Drosophila melanogaster: one gene and its partners. The protein of the gene in region 2 interacts with the protein of the main gene of each other region in a pairwise test. Each region holds a gene or a part of one and is shown on either strand. Other genes may lie near its edges.

Region 1 (3,373 bases), about 12 Mb from region 2:
ATTAGAAGTGACACGGTTAGAATTATATAAAATCGATTGATCTTAGAATACGTTAAAGTTATTACGTCAAAAGGCATTAAAAACTGGACTGCATTTAAAACTGGACTACATTAAAAACTAAATACGAATGCCATTATTTTACCTTTCGTAACCAGGGGACAGTGGATGTTCAACATATCCGGCATTCCAAGCGATGGAAACCTATTTTCCTTACTTTGTGACCGCAATACCCTCTTATATGGTCGGCGTAATAGGTTTTACTTACGTATGTAGGTATTTGTATAATAGAAACACACACTTAAATCAGCCTCGAAAACGAGCAGATTACCATTTCTCGGTTCTCGGCCGGAGTCCACATCAGTCGCTATTCCACCGACGTCGATAACACTTAGATATCCGACATGTTTGCCCATATGCTGGACTTCCTGAATCGATCGCCACCGGATCCTGTGCGTCTTCCGTTGACCAGCAGCCACTGGCCGGTGTTGACCATCCTTGGAATCTATCTAGTCTTCATAAAAATAGTGGGTCCTTGGTTTATGCAGAATCAAAAGCCCTACAATCTGGATAGAGCTATCAAGATCTACAACATCGTGCAAATCGCATACAATGTCATTTTGTTAATATTTGTAAGTAATGCTCTTTTTTTTAACAAAAATATATTAATATTCATTATATGTATCTCCAAATTTAAAGAGTGTGCACTTCATGCTTGGTCCTGGCAACTATAACTTCAGTTGCATATCCAATCTGCCGTTGGATCATGAGTACAAGAACTGGGAGCGTTGGCTCAGTTACTCCTACTTCTTCAACAAGCTCATGGATCTGCTGGAGACTGTGTTCTTTATATTCAGAAAGAAGTATCGCCAGATATCGTTCCTGCACGTTTTCCACCACGTATACATGGTGTACATAGGCTTCTTGTACATGTATTATTATGGATACGGCGGCCATGGATTCTTCTTGATCACCTTCAACGTGGTGGTGCACACCATGATGTACACCTACTACTACCAGTCGTCCCTCAATCGGAACTCGGGTGGCGATCTCTGGTGGAAGAAATACATCACAGTCGTTCAGCTTGTCCAATTTGTTATTATATTCTCGCACAGCGTCTATATCCTCCGGCAAACTGATTGTCAAACATCACGATTATCGGCAACTTGGGGCTCACTGATATCTGTAGTATTTATAATTCTATTTAGTAACTTCTACGTTCGCACCTACATTCTTCCCAAGAAAACGAAATCGGCGGTGGGCCGATGAGCAAAACTAATTAAGATTTAATATCACTGTTCCTTACATTAATCAATGTCATTAATAAATGCTTTTGATACAACAAATTCATTTGTTTTATATCATTGTATATATCGTATATTATACATAGATATATATTTTACATAAAGCAATGGGAGATATTTGTTGGTTTCTAGAACTCTCTATCCACTCGACTGCTTAATGCTATTAAATATGCAAAATACCCCTTTAATTGGGTCTCGCCAGTATTTTATAAATGTAGAACACTTTTTTTGTTGTATTGACAATAATGTCAAAAGGAGTAATTTTGTAAATAATGGCACTGCTGATTAATAAAATGTTGAAAATAAAAACGTAGTTGAACTGTTACTTATATTGTATTTAGTTCGATTTGCAAAGCTTTAAGTATTCAAGTTGAAGGTTGATAGTGGGTTAAACATACCGGAAATTTGCACTAATGTAATTAGCAAATAGGTAATAGTATAGTGGCTATCGTGAAAGAAAGAAATCACAGAAGGTAAAAGTCAAGTCACTCGTTAAGTCGTGCGCGAAAATGTTCGAGGTGTTCGATAAGCCCTTCGCCGATCCTGTCCAGCTGCCGCTGGCGGGCAGTATCCGCACCTCGGTGATCATCATCACGGTGTATCTATTGTTTGTGCTCAAGCTGGGCAGGAAGCTGATGGACAAGCATGAGGCACTCCAGCTGCGAGGTGTGCTCAAGTTCTACAACATCGGACAAGTCCTGTTCAATTCGGTGATTTTTGTGTGGGTACGTAAGTCGAAGGATATCGATATACACAGTTTTTTAATCGTTTTCAATGGATTGCTCCATATTACCCAGGGCATCCATCTGTTATTCGTGCAGAAGCCGTACAACCTGAGCTGCATGCAAGTCCTGCCGCAGGATCATGAGCTAAAGTCCACGGAAAGGACACTGTCGTACATGTACCATCTGAACAAGGTGCTCGACCTGATGGACACCATATTCTTTGTGCTGCGCAAGAAGCAGCGCCAGATCACGTTCCTCCATGTGTTCCATCACGTCTTCATGGTCTTCACCTCGCACATGCTGATCCGATTCTACGGTTTTGGTGGCCATGTCTTCCTGATCTGCATGTTCAATGTTCTGGTGCACATCGTCATGTACGGCTACTACTACGCCTCGTCGCAGAGCCAGAATGTGCAGGAGAGCCTCTGGTGGAAGAAGTACCTTACCCTGGGCCAGCTGGTGCAGTTCCTCCTGATGTTCCTGCACTGCATGTACACCTATTTCCAGCCAAACTGCTCGGCGTCGCGGGGTGTCATCTATGTCATAAGTTCGGCCAGCGCCTTCATGTTTCTGATGTTCACCAAGTTCTACATAAAGACCTACATTCGGCCGAAAGAGGTCAAGTCCAAGGGCAAGGTCAACTGAATGCACCTGCTACACTGTGATCAAAAACTGGTAATTCGTATGTACATAACTATTGGGGTGCATAGGAATGAAGAGTGTCTTTCCAACTTTCATACAATTTTTGTTATAAAATTCCCACCTTTGATCCTGTTTTTTTTTTGTATTATTTAATAAGAATGTATTTGTAATCAACAAATATTTTATTATTACTTTTACAATACATTGGCTTCTTAAATTAAATTTGAATTATAAAGTGATACATCATTGGTTTCTCTGAGTGTACTCGACAATTTGCATATGCGCCGTTTGAATAATAGATGAATTCAAATGCATCGACAGTTAATTCAAATGCAGTCGAAAAGGTCAAGGAGTTAGACTCCGTCCGGAATAAATCCCATCGGCCACATCTCGACTACTCGTGGTTTCCATCGTCGAATCGAGGGGATTCCCCTTGGCACGTGATCTGCATGCTCCGCAGAACTTGGACCGAGCACGTCTCTGGACATTCCATGCTGCATTTAATTAGAATATTAGGAACGAGCCTGGCCCAGCACCGGCGATTTATGGCACCGGAAGGGTCACCCGTGGCCGGCCGAATTTGCATAGGAATCGCATGCGGCGAATCAGAGTCAAAGTGCCAGCTGAATAATTGCGGCCATGCGGCAACATTAAAGCGAAGCCGCAGTCAAGTGCAGTGGTTCCTGGTTGGGCACTAGCTTTTCG
Region 2 (3,067 bases):
TATTAAATCCAGCACGGGAATCGGTCCGCTGCTCAAGATCAACGTGTTCACCCAGAACTGTCTTCATCTGGGATCCAAATCATTTAGCCACACTTTCGGGATACTTCGAAAATATCACTCTGTCTTCAAGGTGAGTTTGTTGATTCGTATTAAGTTATATTTACTATACCCTCTTCTTCATCAATTTCTATATCATTTACGTTTCCATTTTGTTTTTAGGATTTGGTTGCAGGAGATCCAGAGAGGCAGGCCGCGGTCTTGAACGGAATCTTCGATGTGTGGGTCGCCAGCGATCAGTACAAATTTGTGGTGACCGAAAAGCTGGTCACGGGGTTGATAATTGAGCCCATTAGCGTTGTGCGTTGGATCTTCGGCCCATCGATGCGCAAGGAGCTCACCAAGATATACATTTGGGAGCTGCTCCACTCCGCTCTCCGCCACCTGAAGCGTGTCCAACAAAAGATCGAAGTCGTGGATGTCGATGATCCAAGTGCATGCGATCCTGTAGTCAAAGGCATTCTGTTCACCATTGTGCAGCGTTTTGTGAAGACTCTTTGCGGTGCTCCGTTTGCAGACGAGGGAACAGAGGAGCATTACTGGTTCCAGTGGGTTCTGGGCAGACTGGAGGAGACGCTCTTTATCTATGCGGATGACTTTAGGGTGATCAATAACAAGTTGATTAAAATGTCCGAGGATGCATCAGATCTCAGGCCTGAAATCTCAAAAACCATTGCGGCTTTTGTGGCTTGCGTCATGTAACTTCTGTTGAAGATTTCATTCCCGACTCTCGATTTACGAATTTGACAACCAACTGGTGATTTACTTATTCAACGGACAAACTCAATATACACTCCCAAAAAAAAAATGTGTACAAAAAACACTATACAATTTTAATAATTTTTTATTACTTTGGGAGAAATAATACTGCTATCAAAGAAACTTCAGTGGTGCTTTTTATTTATATACTTTTAGTGGTTAGGTCTTTAGCTTTTATTAATTTTCAGAGGAAACGCTTTTTTTTTATTGGTGCTAGTATTTTTCGCCACAGTGTATGACTGCAATTTTTAATTTAATACATCGCAATTTGAAAAAGAATTGCGCGCTAATCTCTGCTATGTTTTTAGTATTTTCGCAGCCTATTTTGAAGGGATGTGTATCGATAATATCACAGAATACTTTATTATCGACTACAATCGAATATGTCGGTGTAGAAATAGCTTAAGATATTGACAGTAAAAAAAATGTAAAATATGAAAAACTTTCTTTGTATGGCATACTGGTATACTGTACGAAACGGCGCGCCTTTCAAATGAAATGACCAGTGACATGTGAAGGTATTGCCATGGATAAATACATTTGATGTTTATCTAACCCCACTGTTGAAAATATGTTATTACTAGTCAGAATCGTTCGTTTCACTAGCGGCTTACATGTACATAGATGAAATGAATGGAAAGTACAATTATAATTATATATCATTAATTAGGAACGTGCAAACATTATGATGGCTAATATAGTGTGACTATACATTTAAAGATCAGATTAATGAAAAAAACCCATATCTTCCTTGTAGATTCATATCATACGCGTGTCAAATAATAATTATTGGCATTTTTATATATTTCACGTGTGTCGCTTGAGTGCTATTTAAGGTTAAGCGAGACGCAAAATCAAATTACTAAAAAAGTGAAATATGGGGTGCGAAACTTCAGTATTATGCACGTTGCTGATTTTCTTCCAAATTATTGGTCGGTCATTTGAAATGAGCCACGATTTTGTGCCCATTAAAGATGATTTACTAAGTAAGTGCGAGGATAAGCCAGAAATGGGCTATTTGGATGCATTCGTGGATTTATCCAACTTCAGTCGCAAACGAGGTCCTGGTGGAGTTAATATATCAGGAAACATAACAACAATATGGGATGTGGATCCATCGGATGTCGTCGAGGTGAGAGGCTTTAATGCATTTAAATAAATAAACTTCCTCCCCAACTAACTGATTTTCAGATTGATGTTAGCATACTGAAGTTTGAAGGAGATAAGTGGATACCAACAATAATTAAAGGGAATGTTAAGGACTTTTGCAAGTCCTTTTACGACAAGAACACTCTTTATTACTCCTATTCGACAAAACACGTGGTTAACAAGAAGGAAGCGAAGGAAAAATGCATTACCACTCCAGGAGTAAAGATATACACCACTTAATCCACTATAACTCAATCCATTTACATACATTTAAATTCCTTTTTTCTAGGCAATTTTGCTGTGGGAGCCCTATCTCCTGAAAATATCATTCAGCTATGCAGTTCCCCTGAATGTGGGGCGGCACAAGGCCGTTCTTATATTTACTGCCATTGACAAAGCCGGAGTTAAGCGTGATAGGGACATTTGCATGGAAATCGTCGGTGACATTGTAAATGCCTAATCGTCATGGACCTATTTCTCTGAATTCGTTTAAACCTAATAATGATTATGATTTTATTGTTTCTCAACAAAGGTTTTGGTGGAGGGTTAATTTTTCTGCAACAACAAATTACTTTTGTTAATTTATTAATAAACAAAAAATTAAAGAAATGCTTAATTCCTTTGTTCTTGTGATGTGATTAGACAAATGTTCTAATTACGGAAAAGGTACATTTTAAAAATGCTCTGATCTTTCTGAAGATGAAAACTTTTCGTCAAGAATAGGTTGTATTATTAATATTATCCTACATATACCTTATTGAAATTAAAAGAAATCGGTAAATAATAGCCTCACCACTAGGTGGAGCTCGAGTGCTATCTCTAAAGCAGTTCTCTTGCTGCTTGCCGAAGCAGTTGATGCGCTGCTTGTCGAAGCAGTTGATGCACTGCTTGCACATTGCGCTCGCACAGTCATCAACTGACTACCGGGTATATCCTCTTGTATTGTCCACCTCCATATTCCTCTTGCTAGTAGTAGAATAGGGTATATTACATTCGTTGTAAAAGGTAAAGGGAGCGTTTCCAACACATTGAACTTGTTCTTGGTCGTAATTACTCCCCGAATCAATCTGGCCATGACCATCTGGCCGTATTATGAATCCGT
Region 3 (4,428 bases), 4.3 Mb from region 2:
CCGAGGCGGGATTCTATTGGACGGGCACCAAGCGGGAAAACGACACTGCCACTTGTTTTGTGTGCGGAAAGACCCTGGATGGCTGGGAGCCCGAAGATGATCCGTGGAAGGAGCACGTGAAACATGCACCCCAATGCGAGTTCGCCAAGCTATCGTGTCCCGAAAGGAATTTAACCGTATGTTCCCCATGACTCCCGAATCCAGCTGGCATCCTAAACTTGTGTATAATTCTTGCAGGTATCACAATTTCTGGAAATTCTTGGAACCGTCGTTAAAGGCAGCATAGAGAAAACCTGCAAAGCCTTCAAATCGAGCTTCGTTCGGGAGAATGAGAAGCGTCTAGATGAGTTTACGCGTAATCAAAAATAGAGCGCTAATTTTTAAACCTTAAATATACATATATAAAACTCGCTATTTATCAAGATTTTTAATAAAACGCAATGTTAGTCCATCGAATGTATTTATAAATTAAACTGTAATAGGATTTTTTTTTAATTGCTTATTTTAAACCAATCTGTCTCGTGTTCAATTTAAAAACTTCAAGGTCGTATATGGTCATACTGAGTCTTCTATGTGGAACAGCTGATTAAAACCAAATCCAATGCAGCTTTTAAATCCTGCGATTTGTTGTCCTGTTCCGCTGAAGCAAACGTTATGCTGAAGCGCAAACTGAACCAGCAAAAATGCAATCTGGAGATTGGGGAGCCCACTAAGACATCCGCAAGGCAGGGCAGTACATCGGAATTCTTTGATAAGCCGCTGTGGCTTAAATTCTACGAAACCGAAGTCAAGTTAAATGAGGCGCTGGAAAAACTGAATCCTCCTGAGAGCACACCGTTCATCTACAACCCGATAGTATATGCATCCCAGCTGCACTGCGACTATTTACGTCGCTATATGGACGGTCCCAAGAAGCTGGTATTTGTTGGCATGAATCCAGGGCCCAATGGAATGGCCCAAACCGGAGTAAGAGCTTAATCTTGTAGATTATCCGAACATATTGATACATTGACGCGCTCTGCTTCAGATTCCCTTTGGCAATGTGCGCACAGTAAAGTTGTTAATGCAGCTGGCTGGTTCGGTGGACCAACCTCCAGTCGTGCATCCCAAACGTCCAGTCGCTGGCTTGGATTGTCGGATTGAGGAGCCCAGTGGTGTGCGTTTGTGGGAGCTGTTCCTCCGACTGGCTGGCAGCATGCAGACCTTCTCCCAGCAGTGTTTCGTCCACAATTTCTGTCCGCTAGCTTTCTTTGGCGCAGATGGCAGGAACATAACGCCCAGTGAAATCAGAGGAGCTTACAAAAATCAGCTAGGAGACCTGTGCCTGCACACCCTGGAGGAACAACTGAAGCTCCTCCAACCCGACGTGATTGTGGCCGTTGGGGAGTATGTTCACAGCGCACTGAAGCGTTCAGGATATGCCAAATCCAATTGCGTTTCGGTGCTCCGACTGCCGCATCCTAGTCCGCGTTCTACTAATAATACCAATTGGCCCGAGAAGGCTCAAGCATTTTTGGAGGAGCACAACCTAATCCGATTCATGCGGAATGAGGCTTGAAGCAAAAATGGTCAATTATTTAGATAGTATTTACATATCTGTATCTGTACAAATACATTCTATGTATATATAAGGATATTACTGCACATACTATAACTTTAAAGCTCTACATTTATAAGTGAGTGGCAAAAGAGAATACATTATTAATAATTTCAGTATTCTATTGAAACAGAATTCTCTATTTTATTTTGAGATATTATTTATTTGCGGGGAATACCCCAAATACAAAAGGTGACTTCGCTTTCCCACCGTGACCGCTCGTACAGTGACCGCTCACCGTGACCGCCAGCTGTTGCGCAGTGCTGGAAAGTGCCGCCTGAGTGAGAGCTACCCATTGTTTTTGTTGACCTGGTCATTTCATCTCATCTGTTTGCGGCTTTTCACCCAGTTCGCCCGAGTCTATTTCCATGCCAAATGGCCGCCTTCATGGAGGAAGCGTTAGTGGAGGCGAGGCGGGCACGTGACGCCGGCGAGGTGCCCGTGGGCTGTGTGTTCGTTCATGGGGACAAGGTGGTCGCACGTGGCGGGAACGAGGTGAACGTCCACCGGAACGCCACTCGCCACGCGGAATTCATTTGCATCGACGCTATCCTCGCCAGCTGCCGCGAGAGACGTCTGCCGGCCCGCCAGCTGTTCAGCGAGATCACCGTGGTGGTCACCGTGGAGCCCTGCATTATGTGCTCCGCCGCCCTGCACACTCTGGGCGTCAAGGAGATCATCTACGGCTGTGAGAACGATCGTTTCGGAGGAAAGACGGTCGTGGATGTGGCCGCCGTCGTTGGCCATAGGATCGAGATCACGGGCGGTGTGCGGGCGGATGAGGCGATGGCTCTGCTAAAGGATTTCTACAAGGGCGACAATCCGGCGGCACCGCCACAGGCCAAGAAGAAAAAGTAGGATCAATTGTCGAGGCCAAAAGCGTGCGTGAAGAAGGGGTAATTATAAACCTAAAGAATTTGCTAGAGAGAACGATACAGTATTGGTTTTTCAGGAGCATGAATGGAGTCAACCACTGATCCTCAAAGAAGTAGGAAGCTATTACAGTCATTGAAGTAATATTTAAAGTATGATAAAACTATAGAAAAATAGTAGAATGCAAAAGTCTACGTTTTCGTAAAATTCAATTACTTCCAAGCCTTCCAAAATCCGGAAACGAGCAGATTACCGAAAATCCGAAGGCAAACCTCTAGTTTACTCATTATTTCAGAGGGAACAAGCCAAGAAACGTATTTATCTTATAAAAGGAATAGTATTCCGTCGAAATCATCGTGAAATAGAGAACGAATTTCAAAAACGCAATCAGAAATGAAAGTAGTTAGAATACATAAAACTACAATCGCATAAAGAATGAAAACATTAGTGCTCCAGTCATCTGCATCCTGGAGGCATACATCCGAAAGTAAAATAAGTACCACTGCATCATTCTTCGACGATTTCTGTATATGATTCAATTTATTATAATCTTTAAGCATAGTCTAAGATATATTGTATATGGCGTTCAGAACGTATGTTTTAACTCTAAGCATAAATACAATTACTGCATGAAAGCTACAGCATTTACGTGTGTGTAGTGAAGGCTGTGCCTGTTTCCACTATAGGAAGACTACTCAAAACCTTTTGTTTCCTTTTCAAATGCGTAAAGTGCAGTCTCGCTAGCAGTCCGACACCAAGAATCTAGTTTACCCTCCAACAATCGAAGCAATATATATTATAGAAATATATGGTTGTATTATAGGCTAACTTGTTTTAAGTTCCCACTTGTAAGATAAATGTCGGAGGGCTGCACCCGTGCTTAACCTAATGTAATTTCCCTACGTCCTAAGCTAACTCTTCGGTTCGATCGTTTGCTGCGCCAGCTTATTGCCTCGATCGCAATCAGCTAGCTGCCAAGCTGGCCATCAAGTGCTGGCGCAGCAAACGAACAATGGCGGGCGACTAAGTGAATCTAGACTAAATCTAATTAAATGCGCATGCTGCGGCGTCTATGGCCAATGTTGAGCCACTCCAGCGGCACGTTTCCGCCCACATTGTAGGTGGTGGGCGTGCAGTTGGGCAGCTTGCGGGCGGGCTCGCATCGTCGGCTAACGTTCCAGTAGGCGAATCCCTGCGGACAGCGGTGGATCTGGCCTTCGATGCGACCCGTCAGCTCCGAGAATCCGCACTTGACGAACAGCTGGCCGCACTGGTCGTTGTTGAGCGCGAAGTGACCCTCATCCGGGCAGAGCGGATCTGTCGTGCTGATTTGAACCTGTTGATGGTAAAATAATTAAATTGTATTATTTCATTATGGAATGTAGACTAGACTTTACAATTATACGACTTACCACATTCTGAAGTTTCGTTTCCTCTTCAAACGCGTTGGTGGTCCTCTTCATGTCCTTGGAGCACTTGTCACCTGCCGGTGGCTTGCCACAGCTGCAGGACTTGTCTTGGTAGACGGTTCCGTTGGGGCATTGGAATACCACGATGTTAAGATCATTGTTATCGGCACTTTCGCTGCACTGGTAGAACATGCCGCACTTCTCCGGATGCCGGCGGAATCCAGTGGGGCAGACGTACACGTTCTGACCTGGTCCGGTTTCGGGACAAGGAGCAGAGGTATTGGTACTGGGAGCAGGACTCTCCGTAGTGGTAGGCGATTTTGACGTTGATGTTTCTTCCCCAGCTATGGTAGTGGTTTCAGGCTTGGGTGGTTTTGTAGTGGTTTCAGGAGTGGCTGTGGTGGTTGTGCCAGAAGTAGTAGTAGTGGTTTCGGAGGCTACTGTGGTGGTGGTTTCAGGAGACGATGTAGTGGTGGTTTCAGGAGCCCATGTTGTGGTGTTTTCAGGGGCCTTTGAGGTGGTTTCAGGTTTTCCAGAGCTGGTTGTACT

What was found.
Region 1: the proteins of CheB93a (region 2) and CG16904 interact in a two-hybrid assay, tested with the Drosophila melanogaster proteins (one large-scale study listed by BioGRID).
Region 3: the proteins of CheB93a (region 2) and CG5292 interact in a two-hybrid assay, tested with the Drosophila melanogaster proteins (one large-scale study listed by BioGRID).

Annotation. Positions count from the first base shown.
Region 1 is NT_033777.3:9,815,395-9,818,767, reverse strand, and holds CG16904 (uncharacterized protein), read left to right. Parts: upstream 1-1,788; 5' UTR 1,789-1,810; coding exon 1,811-2,026; intron 2,027-2,098; coding exon 2,099-2,671; 3' UTR 2,672-2,840; downstream 2,841-3,373. Other genes in the region: CG9459 (uncharacterized protein), read left to right, coding at 402-629, 697-1,266.
Region 2 is NT_033777.3:21,405,759-21,408,825, forward strand, and holds CheB93a (chemosensory protein B 93a), read left to right. Parts: upstream 1-1,686; 5' UTR 1,687-1,693; coding exon 1,694-1,948; intron 1,949-2,007; coding exon 2,008-2,184; intron 2,185-2,254; coding exon 2,255-2,425; 3' UTR 2,426-2,566; downstream 2,567-3,067. Other genes in the region: CG7907 (uncharacterized protein), read left to right, coding at 1-130, 220-759.
Region 3 is NT_033777.3:17,150,002-17,154,429, forward strand, and holds CG5292 (uncharacterized protein), read left to right. Parts: upstream 1-1,859; 5' UTR 1,860-1,972; coding exon 1,973-2,455; 3' UTR 2,456-2,493; intron 2,494-2,549; 3' UTR 2,550-3,518; downstream 3,519-4,428. Other genes in the region: Det (deterin), read left to right, coding at 1-176, 238-369; Smug (Single-strand-selective monofunctional uracil-DNA glycosylase), read left to right, coding at 655-966, 1,028-1,558; Mur89F (mucin related 89F), read right to left, coding at 3,519-3,806, 3,883-4,428.